Linked DNA regions of Drosophila melanogaster. The protein of the gene in region 2 interacts with the protein of the main gene of each other region in a pairwise test. Each region holds a gene or a part of one and is shown on either strand. Other genes may lie near its edges.

Evidence for each region.
Region 1: the proteins of unk (region 2) and Bro interact in a two-hybrid assay, tested with the Drosophila melanogaster proteins (one large-scale study listed by BioGRID).

Annotation. Positions count from the first base shown.
Region 1 is NT_037436.4:1,645,101-1,649,252, forward strand, and holds Bro (brother), read left to right. Parts: upstream 1-2,768; 5' UTR 2,769-2,804; coding exon 2,805-3,446; 3' UTR 3,447-3,512; downstream 3,513-4,152. Other genes in the region: CG13919 (uncharacterized protein), read left to right, coding at 442-837; CG17249 (uncharacterized protein), read right to left, coding at 882-2,300. UniProt on the Drosophila melanogaster protein: Regulates the DNA-binding properties of Runt.
Region 2 is NT_033777.3:23,150,813-23,160,640, reverse strand, and holds unk (unkempt), read left to right. Parts: upstream 1-2,778; 5' UTR 2,779-2,797; coding exon 2,798-2,862; intron 2,863-2,930; coding exon 2,931-3,140; intron 3,141-4,147; coding exon 4,148-4,567; intron 4,568-4,629; coding exon 4,630-4,832; intron 4,833-5,091; coding exon 5,092-5,201; intron 5,202-5,400; coding exon 5,401-5,509; intron 5,510-5,670; coding exon 5,671-5,796; intron 5,797-5,866; coding exon 5,867-6,447; intron 6,448-6,503; coding exon 6,504-6,701; 3' UTR 6,702-8,549; downstream 8,550-9,828. Other genes in the region: CG13829 (uncharacterized protein), read left to right, coding at 1-10; VhaAC39-2 (vacuolar H[+] ATPase AC39 subunit 2), read left to right, coding at 1,402-2,087, 2,155-2,521. UniProt on the Drosophila melanogaster protein: Essential for late larval/early pupal development.

The DNA.
Region 1 (4,152 bases), on a different chromosome or scaffold from region 2:
CATTTTATTGATACGCTACAAGTAACACGTAATATACTGCCAACAATTAATTTTATGAAAAACACCAACCAATCGTCGAAATTGTGACACGTCAATTATCTTCTTCTTCGCGACCCAGTCAGTGTTGCCAGCGTTGGCAGATGTGCATACACTGGGAACCATAAGTTTTCAAAAGTACACACATGAATATGAATGAATTATCATGCTCTCCAGTCTTCTTTATATAGTTAAATATACAGATTTTACGTGATATTTTTGAATATATTTAATCTTCGTCAATAATATTCGAAAATTGAGTTGGTAAATGTATTTCTACGAACACTTTTAGTGACCACTGTAATCGTAGTTTTACAGCACTGGACAAAGTGCATTCTATTCACGGTAACTTCGCTTTGTTTATTTTCTGTAATACCATGGAAAATATATAAATAAGTGACAAAGATGACACTGGCACACCGGGCGCTCTTCACTTGGTTTATCGTCCTGGTCTTCCTGATTCTTCTGTGTCTCCGCCTGGACCCACGCACCACCTGGAATTGGTTCGTCACCTTTACGCCACTCTGGTTCTTCGATGTGATCATTATCATCTACGTGATCATTAAATTTATCCGCAAGTGGCGGAACCTAACCTGCCTGACGGATCTCCTGTTCCTCTACAAATGGAACATTGCCGGCGTCCTGCTGACCATCGCCTCCCAAGTGATGATCTGCCTAACGCTGGAGTACCCGCAACAGATTCCCATATACGTGACCGTTGCCCCGGTCATCCTGCTGCTGAGCACCGCCATCTTCTATGTTGGCAGCAGGCTGGGAAAACGAGAGGGCTGGATACAGTAATATTAAGCATATATTGTAGGATTAGGTGTACATAAAGTGAAAACTCAAAAGCCGTATTTGCTTTGGGTGGCCCGACGGGTCTGCCGGTTGGCCGACCACATGGCCTGCAGCTCGGCTTCGTTGGCCTTCGCCTTGTGCGCCAGGTAGGTGATCTGGTGCTTGCGCCGAGTCCCTGCCACCGGCTCCTCGTCCGTCAGCACGCCGGTCGGTTGGAAGGTGGTGGACGAAGCCAGAGCCGATCGCATCCATTCCTCGCGATCAGGTAGCACCTGAGACCCAGATATGTCGATCACCTGCATCTCCTTGGCCTCCTTCCGCCGGCGCTTGGCATTTTTGCCCACCAATGCGTCCATGGCCTCTGCGTTTAACTGTTGCTCATGGTAGCGCTTTTGTGCAATCTGAGACTGCTCTTCCTGAAGTCGGGCGGCTTCTGCTTCGGCTGCTTCCTTCTCGGCTACCTCCTCTAGGTACTTGCTACTGGCTTCCACCATCTTGGCCGCTCGCTTGGCCACTAGAGCGCTAATCTCGTTGCTGCTCACCTCAGGCAGCTTTTGCTCGGAATTCAGGGAGAAAAAGTCTCCAGTGCCATCTTCGTCATCATCTTCACTATCGCTGGCATTTACCAGCGAAGTGGGTTTACTTATAGGTTTGGATTTTGTTGACTTCAAAGCGTCTTTTGTCTCAGGATTCTTCTTGTGCCCGGCCTTAGGGCCATCTACGCCTTCGGTGTTGTGTGCAGCTCGTCGCTGCTTAACTGTATCGGGAACAAAAGCTGGTGCTGCTCGAGGCTGCGCAGGATTATTGCTTAGACTGGAAGCAAGAGTAGTGCTGGCTGATGGGTAGGCTACCGCGGATGAAGAGTTCTTGGAGAAGTTGCGCTCCGACTTTGCTTGGGGCAGCAGACTCAACAATCCCGATCCCTTGGGTACATTGGGCTTATCAACTTTGTTCTTAGCCCTGTCAGCTTTCTCCTGGTCTACATCTGAGAAATCTCTTAGTGAAGGAATGCTGATTTTTACTTTTCCCTTGACTGGCGGCGGTGGAGGTTTCTCTATTTCTACGGGCAGCGCCTTTTTGTGCAGAAACTCATCGTCTTTCTCCTCTACAATGGCTTTTCCTTTCGCTGCTGTTCGTGGCATGGGCAGGTTGGCAAAGGCGGAAGTAACCTGGTTGTCCACATCCTCATTTTCCAGATCCTTAGCGGGAGCAGTGACTTTTGGTTTGGGTAAGGCTAATAGCAGTCTTCCGTTGGGCGGCTTTAACTCCTGAAGGGACACTTCCTGGGGAACGTAGTCGTCATCTTCATCACTAATGTGACCACTGGTTGATTCCCGAGCTAGATACGCTTCACTTGGTGTGCTCGGCTTGGCTTGGGGTTTTATTACTTCCACTTGTGGTACAGAATTTTCCTCTTCGTTCTCCGAATCTTCATCAGAACTGGCAGCATAAGCAACAAGCGACATGTTTATAAAATTGCTAAAGTTAAACAATACAATACACAACAGCTGTTTAATGTGCCCGGACTCTAGAGTTGTCACCTGCTTGGGCTGCCATGGTTGGCAACTCCCTTTGCTTAAGCGCTGTGCTAACCAACACTGTTAAAATTACCGCTAAAACGTAATTTCGAATTTAAACTTAAAATTATATAGTGCGTTCAATTCGTTCGTTTTATTTATGATAGCATTATACCTGCAATCCTCAAAGTATAATATTCGGAGCTGTAAAAACCCTACGGATTATAAAACAAACCTCAAATAGGATACTTATAAGTGCTATACCTGATCCTTATTGTGTCCAGATGGTTTCCATCCTTGATTACCAGGCGACAATTAGGGGATTCGTTAGGTAGCCCAATCGCTCCCGATTACCTGTTCTACAACTTTTTTTTTTTGTTTAAATAAGGCGGTCAATTTTAACATTGATCAGTACAACTATATCTTTCGGAGAATACAGTTATAACATTAGACATGCATCATCACCAGAATCTCGGAGACGCGGCCGCCATGAATGGAATGATCCCGCCATACGAAGCCATGGCTATGTACGAGCAGCCCAAGCCCAGATTCATCTTCAAGATGCCCCGCGTGGTGCCTGACCAGAGGTCCAAGTTCGATAGCGACGAGCTCTTCCGCCGATTGAGTAGGGAGAGCGAGGTTCGCTACACAGGATACCGGGAACGTGCAATGGAGGAGCGCAGGATGCGGTTTGTCAACGACTGCCGCAAGGGCTATGCGGAGATATCGATGGTAGCTTCAGGAACTAATCTGCAGCTCTACTTCAACGCCAACCACAATCCGTACGCCCAGGAGCAGGATTGCGATTTCGAGCGGGAGCGGGGCAAAGTTCATTTGCGTTCTAGTTTCATCATGAACGGGGTGTGCGTCCGCTTCCGGGGCTGGGTGGATCTGGACCGACTGGATGGCGCTGCCTGCCTGGAGTTCGATGAACAACGAGCCCAGCAGGAGGATGCTCAGCTGCAGGAGCAGATTCAAAGCTACAACCAGCGCATGGCTGAGTCCAGGAGAATCTACCACACGCCCCAGACTCCACCCGAGGATCACCATCACAGAGGTGGGCCTGGTCTGCCTAGAGGACCAATGGGATGGTAGTGCTATATATTACCCTCATAGCTTTAAGTAACATCTAAGTAAATCAACAATAAATATCTGAAACCCATTGATCGTGCTCTTATAATACTGAGATTATGTTTAATACACTAATGGTAATATCTGCTCTCAATTACTAAAACTCTCATTTCACAAGGAGTTTCCGAGTTTTGTGTGTCATTCATTTGGCGAAAGCCACTCATGTTCACCTAATGATTGTTTATCTGGGCCTCCTTAAGGGTTGCTAGCCGGGGTCTTTGGCCTCATTTGCGCCACTTTCGGAACAACCACCACCCGAGCCGACTGCCCGAGGATGGTGAAGTGGGTCCAGCTGCCGTTCCGCCATTCCGCCGTGCTCTCCACTCTCCGGGGTGGGCCTGTCGCGGCTGTGGCTGCGGCTGTCCTCTCTTGACTCTCGATGCGGCCAGAGCACCGGTCCCGTGAGCACGTATTGATTTTCCGCCATTCCGTTTGGGATGCTGCCGAAATAAACTTTGCAACTGCTCTGAATGTGAATCTGAATCCGAATCCGAGTCAGTCTCTTTCCGAACTGAAAGCGGAAAGGCGTCGAGTGAAAATGGAATAGGTGAAGGGAACGCCGCCGCGGACTAAAAATTCATAAACTTATACATACCGCAGCGATTTGAAAACTTGAAAACATTCGGATTGTGTGCCTCAATTTGCTGGTGGTCGCGTATTTTTCCGCATC
Region 2 (9,828 bases):
ATCTCTGTAAAATAATTGTATCTCCACCTTTCGACTATCTTTGATATGCCAATACATCACAATACTTTCTTCTGTATATATCTTGAACACTTCCTGCTTTCATCATGTGGCTGACATATTTTTCGTGAAAATTGTATTCGTATTCGCCAATGCGAAAAAATGCTACCCACGCGATGATTTCTGTTTTGGTTGAAAGCAATATGAGTTGGAAGCGCATTTCAGCCGTCACTTGTCCATCCCGCGATTGGGACTTCTTGACGGCCACATGTCCAGGGATTTGTGTTTGTGGGACAAAGAACGAATGCAGCCTAAGTTTTTTCCGCATGGAAAGTTTACGGTAGTGACATGGCCAATGCCAACTTTAAACTGCACAACGTGATCTTATTTATTGCCCATATCGACCGATTTTTGTCAGCTGCCATGACTTTGTCTAAATATCTTTAAAGTCTTTGACGACATGGAAAGGCAACAGGTGAAACTCGTGATTTAAGTACAATACTTACCATTTTTTTTTTTTTTTTGAGCACATTCACAACTCCAGAAGGCAGAATTTCTTTGGTGACAGTTCCATTTTTCATCTGCCAGTAGGAATTAGTTCATTTTGATGTTAATGCAACGTGAGAAGGTGACACCCTCTTGTGATGGGCAATTAAATGCTTCGGTAGCAATAATAAATGTCGTTTTATTGCCACATTTATGCGATGCACACGCGGCGACACTAACAAGGCAAAGAAATATCAAAAACAAAGGCCGGGCGAGAAATTCACATGTTTATTTGTTCTAGTTGAATGAACGTGTAACAACTTGCAGTTAGTATGCTATTGGCCCGAGCGCAGCTAGTTGACTGAGTAAACAAACAGAGTTGGCAGCAAGTAAACAAATGGCCCAGAGCAACAGGTAATTTCCGTACAGCATCCTCCAGGCGCATGTGCGGAAATTGCGTTAGAATGGGCCGATAAATAGCTATCTGAAATTCAAATAGCAAGCTTTAACTAGGTGCATTTTCTTATAACTAAAATAATCTAGTTGGATGCACTTTAAAACGAACAAACCAAACAAATAATATCTTTTCAAATTTAAAGTTAAAATTTAAAAAACCGTTAGAGCGCTGCCATATTGTCAAAAAGGATAAACGAATGGCAGCCTTGCACCATCGGTAGCGCCATCTAGCGTGCATCGGTAGATACCGCCACCGAATATTTAAATATTATATATAAATATATTTGTAGCTTAATAAATATTATTTTAGCATCTAGAATCCTTAGTATTTATATCAGAATCAGTTCATCCGAGAAATACCTATCACCGCATGTTCCATCTATCAATTTCTGCTTTCACTTAAAAGTTGCCTGGCGTGTGAATTCCTACTAATAGATAGCTCGAAAATAATAATAAGTCAAAATGTCGATGATATTCAACACGGAGTATGGCTACCTGGAGGCCCTAACGCGCGGATTCAAGAACGGCATGCTAAAGCACTCGGACTATCTAAATCTGACCCAGTGTGAATCCCTCGAGGACGTAATGATCAGCATCCAGGGCACGGATTACGGTCTCATCTTTGGTGGCGAACAATCAGCGCCGTCCGTTGAGGTGATCGAAAGATGCCTTAGGGATCGTCTGCTGCAGCAATACTACTACATACGCAGTCATTCGACGGAGCCGCTGACCACCTTTATGGAGTTCATACGATATCCGTTCATGATCGATAATGTGGCGCTTCTGGTCGCTGGCCTAAACAATCACCGATCCATGAAGCGTCTGCTAAGAATGTGTCATCCGCTGGGCGAATTCGATCAACTGGGCGCCATCGAAGTGGCCTCGAATTCTGCGGAGCTCTTCGACGCCGTTCTAATTGACACGCCCATCGCTCGGTTTGTGCCACGCGATTTGCCCATGGAGTCGTTGCGTTACCTCGACGTGGAGATTGTGCGTGCCCATCTGTATCGTGCTTATTTGGAGAAATTCTACGCCTATTGCAGCCAACTGGGCGGCAATACCGCCAACGTGATGACCAATCTATTGTCCTTCGAGGCGGATCGTCGGACCATTACAATAGCTGTGAACGCTATTGGCAGTGATATCATGTAAGATATCTGTGTTGCTATGAAATTCTTCATATTATACTCATAATGCCCACCTTCCAACACTCAGACCGAAGGAGCGTCTAAAGATGTTCCCCACCTGTGGCTACCTGCCCAAAATAGCCTTGGCCTCCATGTCCACTTTAAATGATACGGATAAAATAAGGGATGTTTGCAATGTGTTCGATGGCTATGGCAAAATGTTTGACAATTTGGAGCGCGACTCGGACGGCATGATTACGCTGGAGGACCGCTTTCTCATGATGGAGGCCAAGAAGAATGTGCAGACCTTCCTGCAGCAGTACCATTTCGGGATCTTCTACTCGTTCATTAAACTTAAACAGTTGGAGGTACGCAATATCGTCTGGATTAGCGAATGCATAGCGCAGCGACAGACGGACAGAATCAACGCCTTCATTCCCATACCCTTGGACTAGAAACGCTTTTGCTTTCCTTCTTCGAAATGTTTTCCCTTTGAAATGTGTGTTATAATATATAGGCGTTGTTATAAATAAAACACATGCATAACAATTTCGCATTAATTTTGGCGCCAAATTTGTTTCGTTTGCGTCCCGGCTAACCACCCATCAACTGGGGTGTGTGTATTTGCTAACCAATCGATATGGACGATGCCGACAAAAATTATCGATATCAATCGACTTAAGGCCATGGATGCCCGACGCACCGATGTTTTTTGCACATCACTAACAACGATGTTGGCAAATGAAACGAACAAGCTGCTGCTTTCCTCGCAGCAGGAAAAACCAAATCACTACACGTAAATAGATGCTAACTAATGCAAACGATGGTTAATTTGACGTGCAACCTTTCCGCCAACCGTTTCAGCTACCTGAAGGAGTTCCGCGTGGAGCAGTGCCAGTCGTTTTTACAGCACAAGTGCAACCAGCATCGCCCCTTCGTCTGTTTCAATTGGCATTTTCAAAACCAGCGTCGGCGTCGTCCAGTGCGAAAACGCGATGGCACCTTCAACTACAGTGCGGATAACTATTGCACCAAATACGACGAGACCACTGGGATTTGTCCCGAGGGCGACGAGTGAGTAGAAATGTTGTGAAATTCATAGTTTCTGATGGCCCGTGAAAACGCTGGACGGGACGATTGCAGTGGCGGAGGATGGATGAGACAGCAATAGCGAACGACGTTGTATTTTTTTTGTTTCCTCTTTGCGCTCTCCTTCCTTCGCGATGTGTGTGTATCTCTTGTCTTCGTGTTTACAAACAAAAACCATAGTGTGTTTGTGTGCAGGGGGGTGTGGTGGGGGCGGTGGCAGGGGCCTGGCGTTGTCTGGAAAGCCAAAAGTGAAATTGTAAGTGCGTATGTGGGCGTGCTGCTTGCTGTATCTCTGTGCATGTGTATGTGTGTGCAGGCGAGGTCACCACCGTGCAAAAGTGAAAGTGATTCCAGCTCTAGTGGGCTAGCAAATTCTTATCAGCATCCGTTTTGTGGTGGTTGTTGCTCTCTTGTCGCATGTATACATGCACAGACGCTCGCATACACACAGGTACGCACAAACAAACACACGCACAGACGTAGGGCATCGCTACAAGTGTGTGCGTCATTGTTTTTATTGCGTTTCGCTTTTGCGTGTTTTCTTCTTCGTTTATTTTGATTTTCCCCCGGCAGCTTCGAAATGTACAGTTATTGTGGCTGGCGAGCTTTGGAGAAAAGCTCTGTGAAGTGTAAGAACGGGCTAAAAGTAAAACGCAATTACGCTTTGCGAGAGACAACAACAATGTCTGTTTTTATGACCCAGACTCGAGGTCCAACCTCTGACCCCGACCTCCATTCTATCCATTTATCGTTGTAGTCTCCTTACAGGGTACGAAGGTGGAAAGAAAGCGGTTTTAGTTTTGAAAGAGAAATTTCTTTTACTTATTAAAGAAATACCCTCAAACATGTATTAAAATGATGATTTTGCTGTAAATGTACAACTTTGTTGTTTTTTGTTACGGTTCTTTTTAATTAATGGGTATCATACAGTCCATTCACTTAGCCTCGTCGCCTGCTTTGACGTCACTAAAACTCCCTTTCTCCCCATTTAGATGCCCCTACTTACACCGCACTGCTGGCGACACCGAAAGGCGATACCATCTGCGCTACTACAAGACATGCATGTGCGTCCACGACACCGACAGCCGAGGATACTGCGTCAAGAATGGACTACACTGCGCCTTCGCCCACGGCATGCAGGACCAGCGCCCACCGGTTTATGACATCAAAGAGCTGGAGACCCTGCAGAACGCAGAGAGCACACTGGACAGCACTAATGCTTTGAATGCCCTGGACAAGGAGCGCAATTTGATGAACGAGGATCCCAAGTGGCAGGACACCAACTACGTGCTGGCCAATTACAAGACAGAGCCCTGCAAGCGCCCACCGCGCCTGTGCCGCCAAGGATACGCTTGTCCACAGTACCACAATAGCAAGGACAAACGTCGCTCGCCCAGAAAATACAAGTACAGGTAAGATTTCCCCTGAATTCATCCTAAAGTCAGTTTTAAACCGCGATATACCATTGTTTTAGGTCCACTCCTTGCCCCAATGTCAAGCACGGCGAGGAATGGGGAGAACCGGGCAACTGCGAGGCCGGCGATAACTGCCAGTACTGCCACACACGCACCGAGCAGCAGTTCCACCCGGAGATCTACAAGTCGACCAAGTGCAACGATGTCCAGCAGGCCGGATACTGTCCGCGCAGCGTCTTCTGCGCCTTTGCCCATGTGGAACGTAAGTATAGAGGATTCGATGAGCTAATATATAGGACTCAGCGTTGTGCTCCACAACCAGTTGTTGTAGGGATGTGTTTAGGGCCAAGTTATGATATTACAGTTCTAACTTAATGTTTGTCTTTTACTCGCCTCATCCATCAAACCGCAAATCTGTTTCCAACTATCACTCAAATCCTTTGAAAACACGTACATCAATCAATGTTTGCTTTGCCGCTCGGTGTTGCTTGTCCATGTAACTACTCCCAATCCAAATAAAGCATGTTCAATTGACGAGAAGACGCGGGATCACACGGTATACCTAAACGAGCTTATTTCCAATGCCTATCCTGATTTAAAAGCTCAGGATGCGTTTCAAAGGGTCGATAATGTACGTATTACCGAAGCAATAACACTCATCCAAATAACGCCATCGATTTGCATCGCCTAAACCTAAACGTACTACCACACATCGTTTGCCGCTCTAATCCAGCTAACCATCATCAACTAACTGCTTAACACTTTCGATAAGCCATTTAATCATGTGTCCTGCTCTCCTCGATTTTTTTCTTTTCGTTTTGTTCTCTTAGTTGTTGAACATTGATGGTAATAGCACCAATAAAATGTTGGTAGACGCTTTGGAAAACACAACAAATTTCAGCAAATTTTTAAGTTTCTCACGACCCCTGGACAGTCGTTGTGAGTATCCCAGAGTCCTGACATGCGTACGTCTAAGTTATACACTAGAAATCAGTTCTTCGTTTTGGTTGTGGACAAAGAATGTCAGCGCTTAGATAGCAAATGTCGTGACCCCTAGCCTAACTGAAATTCAATAATTTTTTGTCTTCACTCTTTGCAAGCAGCTTGCTCAATGGACGATCCGCGCGAGAACTCATTGTCGGCGAGTCTGGCCAATACTAGCTTATTAACACGTTCCTCGGCGCCAATTAACATTCCTAATACGACTCTAAGTAACTCAATTAACGGTAAGTAGTCATCAACGTCCTATGAGTGCCAACTAATTGCTAATGCTAATACTCCATTCCATTTGCACAGATTTTAACTCAGGTAGCTTTGCCGTCAACATTCCCAGCAGCTCGCTCACCTACAGTCCCACCAACCATGCCAATCTCTTCAACGTGGACGCCTTCAACTATGGCGGCTCAAACAAACTCAGCAATTCCCTTTCGGCCACCCAGAACGATAGCAGTCTCTTCTTTCCGTCGCGCATCATATCGCCTGGCTTTGGCGATGGCTTGTCGATTAGTCCTTCGGTAAGGATATCCGAATTGAATACCATACGCGACGACATCAACAGCAGCTCGGTGGGAAATAGTCTGTTCGAGAACACTCTCAATACGGCCAAGAATGCGTTTAGCCTTCAATCTCTGCAGTCGCAAAACAACAGCGACTTGGGTCGCATCACCAATGAGCTGCTCACGAAGAATGCTCAAATTCACAAGTTGAACGGACGTTTCGAGGACATGGCATGCAAGCTAAAGATCGCGGAGCTCCATCGGGACAAGGCCAAGCAGGAGGCGCAGGAGTGGAAGGAGCGCTATGACCTAGCACAGATACAGCTAAATTTGCCAGCAGAGCTTCGGGACTTGTCCATACAGAAATTGAAGCAATTGCAGGTTAGTCGCTTAATTAATTTCCCAATTCCATGGGTTTTAACCTGCTACCATTTTAGTCCAAGCTGCGCACCGACTTGGAGGAGGTCGACAAAGTATTATATTTAGAAAATGCCAAGAAGTGCATGAAGTGCGAGGAGAACAATCGCACGGTTACTCTGGAGCCGTGCAACCACCTGTCTATTTGCAATACATGCGCTGAATCGGTCACCGAGTGTCCCTACTGTCAGGTGCCGGTAATAACCACCCACACCTAGAACATGTTTTATCAGCAACAGGACCACAAGTGGCCCTTTGGCTGAAAATCGGATAGGGATGGGAAAGGGGATTCCGATGGGATATGAATGGATCATGGGGATCAAGACCGCGAACAGCATGACAATGTGGTACTCACAAAGCAAACTTTAGTCTTAAGCAAAACGTTGAAACTTTTGAACAGTTAGGATTTGACACATGCCTACTAATTGTGCATGTGGCAGGGAATATATAATTTATGTTTTCAATCTACTCAAAATATGCAAATTATCGTCATGAATATTAGTAATTACTAGGCACAAACTATTAATTGAATTAGCTAGCTGCTCTAAACGAATAAGTATGTAATTTTATTTTTGTTTATTTTTTCTCATATCGAATCGAATACAGGAAAAAACATTTTAAATTGATTTTGTACTATGATTTATGTAACCAACTCTTTTAATTTTGTTTAATATTCAATGTTTAGGCATACATATTTTCTAATCTACTGCACGAATTTGCAATGTCTCATTTATTTTTTTTTTAACCACATATGTATCTCTATATTTGTATTTAAATATGCTACACTTTCAGTCATATTGTACTTTTCACTAGTATTACATAAGAAATTATGAGAACTAAACAATTACAAGATGTAATTGAATGAAAGATATATAAATATATAATATATTAATTTTTCTAGACACTTTTAGCAATTGACTATTAACAAATTTATAGAAACCAACAAATTTAACAATATATTGTCGCATAGAAGAGCAGAAAACAACCACAAACAAACAAATACCACCAGTGATTTTATATAAGCCGATTTTCAAACTGTATTTTTTATGTATGTGTTTCAAACTTGTGAATGCAAACTACAACTAAAAGCCAAGACAATGGTCATAAAATCAATGTAACTGACGGGTAATCAATATTAGTCAGTACTCAGCTTTTATTTTCCTTTTTCAAATGCACAAAAGTAATTATAGACGTTGAAACGAGAAGTAACTAAAGGCGACAACGCTTTTCCTTATCGAAAGTTCATTTCATTTTGTCTTATTGAAAACCAAGTTGAATGTATTAAAACACTTTGATTTTTGTTTAGGCCTTGGTGCAGCTCGTGTAAGCCAATGCCAATTAACCAGTCACAAAATTATCAACTTACGTATATAATCTATTAGGTTACTTTGTGATTTGAATAGTGCTTTAAGTACTTACTTTGCAGATGACTTCAATTTTCATTTTACTTTCATAGTCTCAACTGGACGCTTCCAAATTAGTAAAAGCATAAAATGAATCGTCAATGTCAAAACGTAGTATTTAAGTCATATTAAATCCAGCATTTGGCTGATTGTACAAGAACGAATATGAACAGATATATATTTATGGGAAATTTGAACGCAGATTCGATGAGTGTGATGTTGAAAGCATAAACAATAAAAGTAACTCGATACAGCGAAATGAACAGAGTTTAATGAAAATGTTAACCAGAGTTAATGTAAAACCGTCTTCAAAAACCATTGTATTTTTCTGCGAATTAAAATTATCAAACGTAATCAATTGGACAATGTTGAATGAAACTGAAACGTGTTGTTAGCTAGTTGAGTTGAATTGATAAAGATGTAATCAAAATGAAACTGTTCTGGGAATGAATTGAATATGAATATGAAATCAACATAGGCATTTATTTGAAACAAAAGCAACACTATGAATATATATATACAAATGAAAAACTGAATTATATTATTACAAAGCTAACTAGGAAAGGCAGCGCAAAGGCTCTTATCTCTGTGTGTGTTTGTACTATGTTTTGTAGAAGCCAAATCAGCAAGAAATACAAATAATTAATAAATATAACAATAAACAATTGTGTGTTAACTTATAAATGCTTTAATAGTTTATGATACAAGTGTACACAAAAAAACTAAAAATCACGAGAACAAACAATGAGAAAATTGGTTTTATAATGGAGCTGTTGAGTCGCAAATCTATTGTGTGTATTACCAAACTAAACTGAAAACTGAATGCATACCTCTCTCAGAATATCACTGACTCTCATCACCGGAGACACAGTTTGAAAGATTTGCTAATTTACTTTATGAATCTCCACGAGATGTACATGGGATGTCTATCGAACTACGCGTTTTTTCAACCCCATTCCAAAACAAACCAATGCAAAGCAATTTTACAACATGTCAAGAAATCCATTTCACGCCATCTCAACTGTGAAGAATCAAACAGAAACCAGATCGAAAAGTATATGTACGTTACATACATATATATTTATAGATGACACATGTATTTTGTATACGCTACTGTAAGAGTGATTTTTATGTGATTTTGAAACTACTTGAATATGTGATCCAGAAATATATAAAAAACAAAAAAAGAACAAAAAAAAAAACGCAAAATAATATTTATATATATAAACGCAAGCTAGCGACAGCAAACAGCAATATAACAAATCAAATTGTAAACCAACTTGACTTTATGTACAACAACAACAATGACGACAAAAAATATAAAATATGTTGTACAGCTCCAGCTCCATTTAGAAAACAAAAGGCAAGAGAAGTAGGATTTTGGTAGTGGAAGAGATATGGACACACGTAGCATACTTAACAAATTGTCAAAAACAAAAAACAAAAAAACACGTAGACCAGAACAACATCAAAATCTTAAGGATACAAAAAAGAACAAGTAAATAAATGTCTAAATTATCAAATTGAATTATTAGCTAGCTTATAGGGTTCTCAGTTAAAAATTTACCAGAGGAAATACAAACGAGTAACAAAAGCAAAGGCAATTACTTCTCTAGATCTAGAACTAAGAACAAATGTTTGCTACCAATTGTTTCAACTAGTTAATTCATAATAAATTAACAAATTGTAGAAAACTGTAACTGAAGGTTTAACAAGCATAGCGTAAAAAAAAAAACAAAACATGACAACTCTGAACACCGAACAGGAATTTTAAATATGAAATCGCGGAGACCGAGCAATTTGCAACCGAAAGTACTGTCTAGTATTTTAAACTTGTCTACAACAATTATGAATATGAATGGATTTATGCAGTTTTGTGCGAACCAAGCCCACACAGACACACACAATAAGTGAAAACTCGACGAACTAAGTGGAATCAATT